3 linked regions of the Rattus norvegicus genome follow. The protein of the gene in region 3 binds, or shares a complex with, the protein of the main gene of each other region. Links are inferred from orthologs where the notes say so. Each region holds a gene or a part of one and is shown on either strand. Other genes may lie near its edges.

Region 1 (3,721 bases), on a different chromosome or scaffold from region 3:
AAGATCAGGTCATTCCATGGTTATCACTTTAATAATGTAAAACTCAAGCAGGTGATGAGCTCTCACTCAGCTGTCTAAATGCACCCTCTACCTACAGGAGCAGTGACTAAGGACCCTTTGGTCCCCACATCCCTGGTCGGCGGTGGAGGAAGGGCAGGCCAGGCAGGCATGAGGCACAAACAGTCTTTATTGGGTTCACACCAAGAGTCCATTGGTCTTGAGGACCTCTGTGAACTTGCAGATTTTCTTCTCCACATTCTTTTCTGCCTGTTTCCTTAGCCTCTGTGGTTTGAAAAGACAAGTGTCAGAGATTTGTTGCTTTTGTCCCAGGGCCACCCTAACCCTGGAGTGCAGGTTCTATCCTCACCAAGAGCTGCTTCTTCTTCCGGTAATGGATCTTTGCCTTTTCCTTCCGTTTCTCCTCCAGAGTAGCTGTCACTGCCTGGTACTTCCACCCGACCTCATGAGCCAGACGCCCCAGGTAAGCAAACTGCAGGGGCACAAGGCTGTAAGGACATGGAATGTGCCCCAGCAGCAGAGTGAGCTGGAGGGCCTAAGGACCCTACTTCAAGGACTCATCCCAACATGGACGCTCTCCTGGCATCAGCTCAGCCTTTGGCATTATCGGCACTGTGGCATCCGAAGACCATCGTGAGAATATACCATCATCTGCCAGTCTTGAGGTCCCACAAGTTTATTCTGTAGCCTAGAGCTTACCTTTCTGGTAGGCTTCAGCCGCACAACCTTGAGGGCAGCAGGGACCACCATCCGCTTTTTCTGTTAGAAAAAAATAAGGGCTCAGAGACGTGTTGGGTGCACTTGGTAAGAAGGCTGATGGGTCAGGCGTCTCAGCCAGTGCAGTTTTCATGAGGCTCAAACAATGTAGGTAACAGAACATCACAGACGCTAGATGCAGAGAGGCTGTGAGGCTAGGCCTGCAAGGCTCACCTTGTCATAGGGTGGAGGGATCCCATCCAACACCTTGAGGCGTTCCAGGGCAGCCTGGCCTCTTTTGGTCTTGTGCGGCAGCATGCCTGTGGGTGTAACAGCAGCAGGCCTCATCAGAGGTGCTGAGAAACCCACCTGACCTCAGGAGCAGGGCATTAGGCCAGCCTCAGATGGTAGTGCATGTAGAGTCGTCTCATAGTCAGGCAACTCGAACATGAGTGGGAGACATCCTCATCACAAGCTGCCAGATGCTCCCCTGCTCTCCATGTCACCCATGGGACCAGCTTACCTCGCACAGTGCGCCAAAAAATGCGGCTTGGGGCTCGGAAGTGGTAGGGGCCTCGAGACGGGTTGGTGTTCATCCGCTTTCGGAGAAAGGCCAGATACTTTACTGTCAGAAGGAAAAGTATATGAGGCCTTTTGGGTCCAAAAAGCAACTAAGGACCTGCTTAGCCCCACCCAAGCCCACCACCCCAGCCCTAACTCACACTTGTTTCTGTAGAAATTTCCAGAAATGTTGATGCCCTCACAGCGTACAACCACCACCTTTCGGCCTAGAAAGCATGGGGTTGGAGACAGTCAGGAAAGTCACTGAACACCCAACAAAGCCACAGAGCACTCGTGGAATGCAGATCTGTTCCAAAATCATTTCTAAGCCATGAACCCCAAGTAAGCAGGGGCAGTAAGTCTCAGAGCGGTGCATGGGTTGATCTCACAGTCGTGAGACTCAAACGAAAGATGGTGATTATTGCTCATCACAGACTCTCAGGCAAATGTGGATGTTGAATGAAACTTACCCAGCAGTACCTGCTTGGCCACAATGGCCGCCAGGCGGCCCAGAAGATGGCCCCGGCCATCCAATACTAGAACCTGTGGAAAGAGGAAGGCTTAGTAGGCTTTCCCTACTCCAAGTTACCAACCCCTTCACAGTGCCTCTCCCCACAAGGATGCCTATAACCCAGATGAACCACGTGTCCCAAAGGTACATTATTATGTGCACACAACATGACTTTTTAAAATGGAACTTCATGTTACCCTACCAGGCCTCAAATTTCAGGATAGCTGGGATCCATGGGCACACTATGACCTACAAAGGGTCTAGACTTGGTTTCAGACTTTAGCCCATTGTTTAGTCCCACCAAATCCCCAGCTTTCTCACTAAGAGCAGACCTGTTGCTCTAAGCAGCACAAAACGAACCTGTAGTTAGCTAGACTACAATGGCTGTCCTGTCTGCAATTCTGAGCAGTGCAGAACAGTACAACCCAAACTACAAGAGAAAACCATTGCACACTACCGTTTACATTTTTAAAGTGAAAAACTGTCCCAAACAGCGTCATCTACTTCCTTAGCAACAACGTACCCTCAAGACATCTAAAAACAGCAGGAAAGGTGCAGTTCAACTCCTGTCAACCCTCAAAGTCATGAGGTTTCTCCCTCAGTCTGTTTTACAAGTCTGCTTCATCATTTCACCCCTTAATTCTGAACATTTAACACCCTCAAAAGGGCTACAAGCCCAAATATTAGATGTTACAAAAACCCTAAGTCATGCAAAACAGGAGCCTCCCACTAACAAAAGTACAATACCAGGCATGAGCAATTCCAAGGTCCCCACACCCCAATGCCGGAGATGAAACCTATAAAAGTTCTTTCCGGTGTTGGGAACCCGAGTCCCACTCCCGTCTTCCCCAGGAAAAACGCTAGGCTTTCATCGTCCCATACCTAAAGACTGCCGCGGCTGGTTATGCCCACGTTACACAACCCCCTCGCGTCAAAACGTTTGCTTAAGTCCCATCGCACAAGCAGAGTGGAGCAGTGGGCTCCCATTCGGCTCCCTCCTGGAACCCACCCCAACCCCACACCGCCCGGCGCGCAGAGTCCGAACCTGCCCCTCCGCCATCTTCGGCAGCCGCCTAGGAAAGGAAGAGGTCTTGGCGCAGGGTTTCTTATCCCTTGCTGCAGGGGCGGAGGAAGTGACGCAGATGGCTCGAACTGAAGGGTTTCTGTTTTCTCATTGATCGAAGCGGTGAGTGCGCGCACACCGGAGGCGGGCCACTTTCATATTGTCCAATCAGACTATCGCATGAGTTGGATCTTGGCGGCCATGACTGTGCGGGGCGAGAGGTCACGTGGTTCTCGAGGCGTCTTTAGCCGTACAAGGCCATCCAGCCGCTGCCGCCATATTTTGGAGGGATTGCACGTCTCGGTTCAGGTGTCCGTGATGTGGAGCGCCATTACTCCCATCAACGAATGACGGTTGCAGAACATGTGGTGGCCATAAGGGGGCGAGAATATGTCTTGGCCCGCCCTTCAGAGCTGCGTGTGTAACGGTCCCTCCCCTCAACCTCTTGGTGTGCTGAAAATTGCTGGCCTTTCCTGAGCCTAGGAGTTTCCTTCTGTCAGACAAGTCGGGGTAGTCTTCCTAGATGGAAGAGTATGAAGGAGAGAAGGCCTTTCAGGTTCCTGAGACGCAGATGCACTCACTTGCTGCTGTACCCAGCTGTGAATGTTGTCTGAGCTGCCCTCCCTGCTGTGCACCTATAACCGCCCACCACCAAAGGAAACAACAAAAAGGCAGTAGATTGTTCAGTATGAAAGACTCATTTTGTCCTGAAAAATCTCCCTAAACATCCCAGCCTGAGTCGGTTCCTCCAGGAGGTTCCAACACTGTTTTGCTTACTTGTTACACTTTGGTGCCATGATTTTGGGGAATTGGACTGCTTCTGCTTCACATCATAGTCCTATGGAGCATTCCCCCGTGCTGACCCTGGGCTG
Region 2 (3,745 bases), on a different chromosome or scaffold from region 3:
AAACCTTGGGTTACTCAGTACCTCAAAAACACAACACCCCTCGAAACAAGAATTAAGCACAATTTAGCTTCTCACTTGAAGCTAAAACAAAGAACAGGATTTTGAGATAATTGGGAGTACACCTTTCATTCCAGCCCTAGGGGTAGAGGGTGGGGCAGAGGCAGACAGATCTGTCTCCAGGACAGCCTGGTCTACAAATCCCGGGCAGTTAGAGCTAAACAAAGAAACCCTGTCTAGGGGAGGGGCGAGGGGGGGAGACTAAAGAGCTCCCCTCCTCCCTTAGTGCAGTGGGAGAGAAGCATCTTGAGTTATGGTTTTCTTTTTTTGTGGGGTAACGGGAGACTGGGTTTCACTACAATGGGATTAATGACATTCTACCACCCCTGGCAATAAACCAGGGTCCTCTTGATTCTTTTAGATTTATTTTACTTTATGAATGTCTTGTTACCATGTTTGTGCCTTTTTAAAAAGATTTACTTTAGGGGCTGGAGAGATGGCTCAGGGTTAAGAGCACTGACTGCCCTTCCAGAGGTCCTGAGTTCAAATCCCAGCAACCACATGGACCTCTGGAAGAGCAGTTAGCGCTCTTAACCCTGAGTCATCTCTCCAGCCCAACAAGTGCTTTTAACCGCTAAGGCTTTTGTTTGTTTTTTTAGACAGGGTCTTACTATGTAGCCCTGGCTGTCCTGAAACTCGCCACATAGACCAGGCTGTTTTGAACTTAATGGAGGTCGGCCAGTCTCTGCTTCCTGGGTGCTGTGATTGAAGGCAAGTGTCACCATGCCGCACATGACCTGCAGCATTTTGGAGACGCAGAACTATTTCAGACATTTGAACATACTCATGGCACCCGGAAATACATTTCATTGGCATATTTTAAACTGCCCTTGTGTGAAAAAAAAACTATCAAAATGGAGATGCATGGTGGCATGTCTCTAAATTATGCTCTCAGAGGTTGAGGCAAGAGGACTGAGATAAGTTGTGGGCTAGCCTTCTCTACAAAGACATAACTTCCTGAGATCAAGCCGTTTAGCGACTGACAGGAAATTGTAGGCCTAGGCCAGTGGATCTCGCGCGACCTCAGGTTTGGCGCCCGGAAGTGGCTGTAGCTCCGTCTCCTCCGGGCGTGCTGGCTGGGGAGTTGGCCTACTGCGCAAGCGTGAGTCGCTGACTCCGCCCCCTCGGTCCCGCGGTCGAAGCCATTTCGCCGCTGCTTCCATGCGGGGTGAGGTGTGTTCCTTCGCCGTTTTTGTGGAAGGTTGGCGCTGCAAACTCGTCTAAGAAGGTTGTGCTCTCGGGCACGGAGAAGCGGAGGAGGGTAAGGAAGCACCGTGGCGGACCTAACGCGGGCTTGTTGTCGCGGGCCGACGCCGGCCTCCGCGGCTCTGCGGTGGCTTTGTTGTGAGGCGCGGACGGGGGGAGGGGCAGCGCGGCGGGTACCCGGATCACAGGCCGTGGGCGCGCCGGCCGTGGGGTTCTCGCGCTGCGGTGCAGCGGATAGCCCTAGGCGGTGGTTTTCCTCACACCGGTTGTCCGCTCTCGGAGGCCCCTTCCTCGGTCAGTCATGCAGCGGAAGTCTTTAATCAGAGTTGCCTGTAGCGGTGGCGGTTCGACGCCACACGGCGCGTCGGGTCCTCGCTTCTCTGATCCGGAACCCCCAGACCCGGTAGGGGTGATCTGCTTTGGGATACGAGGCGTCGTTGCAGTTCCTCCTGCACCGCACTGTTTACTGGGGAAGGATTGGTGGAGCGGAGTCAGGAGCAGGTGGTAGGAAAATGTGTGCATGATTTAGTAAGTGATGGCGGAATTACACCGCGCAACGGGATCGCCCTGCTTTAGATAACGGTTGCCAGAGACGGCGCCTCAGAGTCTGGGGGGTACTCGAGTCTGGCTTTGAGGTGCACAATGTATCCTCTCCAGAGATGCGGAGCGAGATCAATTACGTCTGAGACCAGACTGACCTGGAGGAAAAGAGGGCCAGCCACGTGACCTGAGGATGAGGAAAAGCATTTTTTTTCAGGGTGGCAAGAAAAAAAACCCACAAAATTCGGAGCCGGGAGCCGTGGCTTAGGACTTCATTCAGTCCCAGCACTGGGGTTGGTGGTCGAAGGTAGTCGGATCTCTTGTGCCAGGGCTACTACACAGAGAAACCGTGCCTCGAAAAACAAAGCAAAAAGAACTATTTCGATATACCAGTTAGTGGTGGCAGGTGACAGAAGAGCTGGAGAAAAGCAAGTAATATTACACATCTGGAGCCAAAACAGCAGGGCAGATGTGAGATGGAAAGTTTGACAGGGGATAAATTCTTAGTTTTCTAGGTCTGTAAAAGAAATGGTGGGTATTTCTAGGGGGGGCATTCACACTCCTTTCATTCTCGAAGTAAAACAAAACAGTACAGCACACAGTTTGAGGATTATATAGTCCCTAAGCCACTAAGGATCATGTCAGCACACGTTTAAGGATACAAGAGATAGCTGTGAAAGACCTTTGCGGAATGGACTAGATTTCCCAGTTCCTTGGTGCCATTATTGGGGATGGGAATTTATGAATGGGGGTTAGAATACACTTTAGGAGGTTTAAAATTCTTACTGAGATGCCTAGATAGTTTATAGATGGGAATATTAGTATTATCCTTGGATAAGATTTGGAACCTGAAGGACTGTATGTATCTATTTGGACTTAATTAGCAGGGATATTTAAAATTAAATGGGCTTTCTAGAGCTAAAAGGATTCGATAGACCTATGTTTTATGTTACTCGTTTACTTTGTACATTTACTTATGGGGTTTTTGTTTTTGAGACAGGGCTTCTCTGTAGACCAGGTAACCTCCAACTCAGATCTGCCTGCCTCTGCTCTCCAGGTGCTTGGGTTTAAACGCCCGGGCCAGCACACCCAGACTTGCGAAGGACTTTATTGTGTTTAACTTCTGAGTTGTACTATCTCGCTTTGTCATTTGCTTTACCAAATAATAAGATTAATAACTTTATCTTAATTAATAAGTTTATCTTAGGTCAGATTTGGTGAGTAGATTAAAGTTCTGTGTAGATGTCTTCTTGCATCCTGCTGCAGTAATCTCTCCTCTCTCCTGTCTAAATTTGGTCTTATTTTTATATGCATGAGTATTTTGTTGGCATGTATATGCACCATTTGCCAGAAGAGGGCATTGGATCCCTTGGGACTAGAGTTAAGAATGGTTCTAAGTCACCTTTTGGTGCTGGGGTTCAAACCTGGGTCCTCTGTTAAGAGAAATGCTCTAAAACCACTAAGCCACCTTCAGCCCCAAGAGGTTTTTGTTTTGAGATTCCCCCATCTTATCTTTTCTACCCCATTTTTACTTAAAAATTCTCTGAAAAAAAATAATATAATGTGACATGGTTTTTGTTGTTGGGAGGGATAACTTTAAGGCATATAAAATATTCATTGTAGAATGTAGTAAACTGCATAAAATATTTCAGTTAAAAATCAGTCCATGGGCTGGAGAGATGGCTCAGTGGTTAAGAGCACCAACTGCTCTTCTAGAGGTCCTGAGTTCAATTCCGAGCAACTATGTTGGTGGCTCATAACTATCTGTAATGGGGTCTGGTGTATCTGAAGACAGCTACAGTGTGCTCATATACGTAAAATAATAAGTCTTTTAAAAAAGTTTTCTTTACAATGAACCATTGTAGGGTATGTATATTCAAATTATACAGGTTGTATCTACATGCCATAGACTTCAACCGTATTAAAATTTCTTTTTTTTTTT
Region 3 (3,667 bases):
TTCTTTCTACACTGACATTAAATTAACATACCTGAACATGAGAGAGATCACTGTCTTTGAACTGTTGAAGCACTGCCAATGCGCCGTCTTCATTGAACTCTTTTAAAGCTTCGATAGCTCTCTCATCTAAATCACTATGTGCAACTAGCCCTGGAGAAGAAAAAGTTTAGTGAGTTATCATCTTTTAAATTTTCTAAACTATTTCTTCAGAGTCCTGTATTTACCCATACAGGTACACATATGACAATGGTTCTACCTACCCTCCTTATCCTCCCCTCCTCTACATAATGAAACACCTACTTTAGCCATAAGTCCTCTCAACCACAGAAGGAGTCAACCTATTTTACATCCTGTTTTGTGTTCGAGTAGTCCTGAACACTCAATATTTCTACAGTAAATATATAAGCCTACAAATCCTAAAGTCAACCAACAAAACACCAAGCCTAACAACTGAACCTCTCCTCAATGTCAAGTACCACTAGAAAAAAGGAGCCACCACACCGAGAAAGACAAGAGAACTAGCCTAGAGTTACCAAGTTATTAAACAAGAATCATGCTATAAAAATACCTCAAAAAGTCACGTGGGCTGCTCTCAACATTCAGCAGCTGTTGCTACTATCATATACTTATCCATCAGGCCAGACAGCCTTCCCCTAGGGAGGTCTATCCCCTCATTTCATCCCTCCCTCTACACTCTACCTCAAACCTAAATTAACCAACTATCAGAACAAGGCCAAGCTCCAGTTCCCACGTTTATTGGAAACCACAAAAAGTTGCTATTTTAGCTCAAAGTCAGAAATCCAATAGAAAAATTTCATAATGTAATTTTGCAAGTGTTAGTTCTTACCTGCAACGTAAATTTCATCTAGTTTTTCAGCAACTTTCTGTGGTAAACCAGCATCAAGCAATGTCTGAAAATTTTCTGAATGGATAACTGCTGAAGTAGTATCCATGGGCTCTTCAGTACCATTTCCATTAACATGTTCTGTAGCCATGTTTCCAGAGATCTGTTCAAACGCAATAAGCAAAATTAAACTAGGATCTTCAAACAGAATAGAGGACAATGACAGTCCCAATCTTTACTTTCTCTTCCACTTGACTACAACCAGTCAGCCTGAGCCTCCCTTGAAAGAAACCTTAAAGTCACTATCGCCTGACAAGCCAGACTGTGGAGCCCGGGGTACAGAAGGACCGATTCACTATTTTCTTCCTGAGCACCACCCCTCACTTCACCTGCTAACTAACACTCACTGAGAAAAACCTTATTACAAATGAAGCCCAATCAGCACAGCGACCGGCCCAGCCTGCCACACGCAGCACTTCCAAAACGGAGAATAAGGTGTGTGAAGCAAGCAACGCTGGGCTTGTCTCTCTCCAAGGTAAACCAGAAAGTGCGCTTTTCCCGCCTGCCGCTTATAGATCAGTAACAACAGCCAGCGAAGAACAAAGCGCTCACACAAGCCACCTTCCCACCACCCAATTCCTCCACCCTTCACCCCCACACCCCAAAGCCCGCCCCCGACTCCGCACCCGGAGCGGCAGCAACGCCACTGCAGCCGCCAGGAGCCCATTAGAAACACGTGCTCTGCGCCTTCAAATGTCCTACAACTTCCTTCAACGGAAACCCACCGAGTACCAGGCCAAGACCGTCATGACCGCCTCCCAACATCAACCCGCAATCGGGGTCCGAGCCCCCCGAACACTGCAGCCGCACATCTCGCCCCTCAAAAGCGAGGCCGCGGCGGCGCCAGGCCACGGGCTCTCCCCGCCCCCCAGCGCCGCCGTCTCCGCCGTGACACATGGCTCTCCGCCCCGGGCGCTCCCGTGCGCCCGCGACCCCCAGCCTCCCGCACCCCTCGGTGCAGTGGCTGCGGCGCCGAGGCCGACAGCCCGCGCCGGGAGGGCGTTCCGCCGCCAAGCACACGCCCGCGGGAGCCGAGCACCGCCCAAGCCCGCCGGCCGGTCGCGGGACAGCACCCGCGCCTCTCCGCCCACTCCCGCGCCGCCGGCCACGACAGCACCAAGTCCGCCGCCGCTCGCGATCCGCTCGGGCCACGGGGCTGCCGAGGCGCCTCCTCCCGGAGCGCCGCAGACAAAGCCCAGACCCGGCAGCACATGGAGAGGAGGAAGTGGCGGCGCGACCGCGGCCTACTCTCTCGCAGCCCCGGCCAACGTGCTCTTCTCCCCCTTGGAATCCATTTTCCAGAAAAGCCGGTTTCTCCCCGCGCCGCCCTCCCCCAAGCACCCTCCAAAATGTCACGGAGCTCCCCCCTCCCCAACACCCGTGTGCCGGCCGTCGTTACCTCCCCGCGGGGCTGGGGCCGAGGAATCCTGTCCGACCGGGTCGGGTGGCGGGGAACGCGTGCTCGCTGCTCCCTGTGTCCGGCGCGAGTGGAGCTGTTGTAAAATGGCGGCCGAAGCTCACGCCGCTGGCAGCAAACCCGATCCAGTTCCACTCGCCTCCGAGCGCGCTCCCAGTGCGCGCGCGCGCCCCCGCGTGACCCCCCTTCCCTCCCCTCCCTGGCGCGTCCGCTTCTCTCACTCACTCCCTCAGCCCCTGCCCTCCTACAGCTCCTCCTTCTCCCCTTGCCACCTCTGCCGGCCGTGGGCCGCCCTGTCCTCTCGGTCTTCGTCCTTCCTTCCCTGCACCTCCTCCCCCAGCTTTCCCACTCCCGTCCGCGGCCGCTCAAGCACGAGTGGCCGCCCTTCTCCTCGCTGGCTCTCTGGCTCACGCCCTCCCTCGCTAGCTCTCTCGGCCCGTCCCCAGTCCCTGCCGAGTCGCTCTTTCTCTCTCCCGCGCTGACGTGACGACGCAGCCGACGCCTCAGGACGCGCGCCCGTGGGCCCCGCCTCTCGCCCCGCCCCTAGGTGCTGGTAGGGGGGGGAGAGACCCCGCCCTTCCGCCGCGGCGACCGTGAGGGGCCGAGTGAATGGGAGACCCGCCCTCTGTGCGGACACTCCCTCGCGCTCCGCGGGCGGGGCTGCCGGCTGGCTGTGTGTCCCACTCCTTCTTTGTCAGGAGACAAGCATCTCCCCACCCCGTCCTCCCCGCCCCCACCTCCCCACGGCGAGTCGGGGCTCCGAGGGTGCCCGGCGCTGGCTGACCGCTCTGCCCAGGCTGCCACCGCCGCCCCGCGCCCTGGGCGCTCGAGAAGCTGCAGGCGCACGTGTCCCCCGGGGCGGGGCGAGGCGAGGCAGACAATGGGGCTGCGGGGGAGGGGAGCTGCACGGGGGATGGCGGAACTCGGGGCCACCGGGTGGCGGGGCTCGAGTTCGGGAGTCACCCCGGGGAGCCCCGGCTTCCGCCGCTGGACAATGGGGCATCCCGCGGCCCGGCGCGCGCCGTCCTCGGCTTCCACGAATACCCTGGGCAAAGGGAGGGGCGCCGCGGGTTCGCGAGGAAATCCCAGTTCCTCCCACCCGGGGATGACACCGAGGCCAGATTTGGAAGCTTAACCGGCCCGGTGGTGTTGGATTGTGCAATATTCCGTTTCTGTCCCTGGCCTTTTAAGCGGTTAAGTGCTCCTCCTGGCACACTTTGAACAACTTGAAGCAGCAGAAAGCTGCGTGATTAGGACAACTATGAGGAAAATGTGTTTCTTTTCAAGCATCTTGGCAATTAAATGTTCTGTGAAGTGACATTTCCTTTGTAACCATTTACTAGGGA

Evidence for each region. The genes of interacting proteins can lie anywhere in the genome.
Region 1: Syncrip (region 3) and Rpl13a share a complex: the UniProt entries of both Homo sapiens proteins name them as parts of the GAIT complex. The link is inferred for Rattus norvegicus from reciprocal best matches to the Homo sapiens genes SYNCRIP and RPL13A.
Region 2: Syncrip (region 3) and Dhx9 share a complex: the UniProt entries of both Homo sapiens proteins name them as parts of the coding region determinant (CRD)-mediated complex. The link is inferred for Rattus norvegicus from reciprocal best matches to the Homo sapiens genes SYNCRIP and DHX9.

Annotation. Positions count from the first base shown.
Region 1 is NC_086019.1:104,746,054-104,749,774, forward strand, and holds Rpl13a (large ribosomal subunit protein uL13), read right to left. Parts: upstream 2,861-3,721; 5' UTR 2,847-2,860; coding exon 2,832-2,846; intron 1,819-2,831; coding exon 1,746-1,818; intron 1,715-1,745; exon of another isoform or gene 1,632-1,714; intron 1,503-1,631; coding exon 1,437-1,502; intron 1,340-1,436; coding exon 1,238-1,339; intron 1,194-1,237; exon of another isoform or gene 1,109-1,193; intron 1,035-1,108; coding exon 949-1,034; intron 909-948; exon of another isoform or gene 842-908; intron 778-841; coding exon 718-777; intron 675-717; exon of another isoform or gene 595-674; intron 507-594; exon of another isoform or gene 491-506; coding exon 368-490; intron 283-367; coding exon 196-282; 3' UTR 170-195; downstream 1-169. UniProt on the Homo sapiens protein: Associated with ribosomes but is not required for canonical ribosome function and has extra-ribosomal functions.
Region 2 is NC_086031.1:68,187,000-68,190,744, reverse strand, and holds the start of Dhx9 (ATP-dependent RNA helicase A), read left to right. Parts: upstream 1-1,198; 5' UTR 1,199-1,318; intron 1,319-3,745. UniProt on the Homo sapiens protein: Multifunctional ATP-dependent nucleic acid helicase that unwinds DNA and RNA in a 3' to 5' direction and that plays important roles in many processes, such as DNA replication, transcriptional activation, post-transcriptional RNA regulation, mRNA translation and RNA-mediated gene silencing.
Region 3 is NC_086026.1:98,312,577-98,316,243, forward strand, and holds the start of Syncrip (heterogeneous nuclear ribonucleoprotein Q), read right to left. Parts: upstream 2,811-3,667; 5' UTR 2,304-2,810; intron 1,008-2,303; 5' UTR 996-1,007; coding exon 848-995; intron 151-847; coding exon 32-150; intron 1-31. UniProt on the Homo sapiens protein: Heterogenous nuclear ribonucleoprotein (hnRNP) implicated in mRNA processing mechanisms. Component of the CRD-mediated complex that promotes MYC mRNA stability.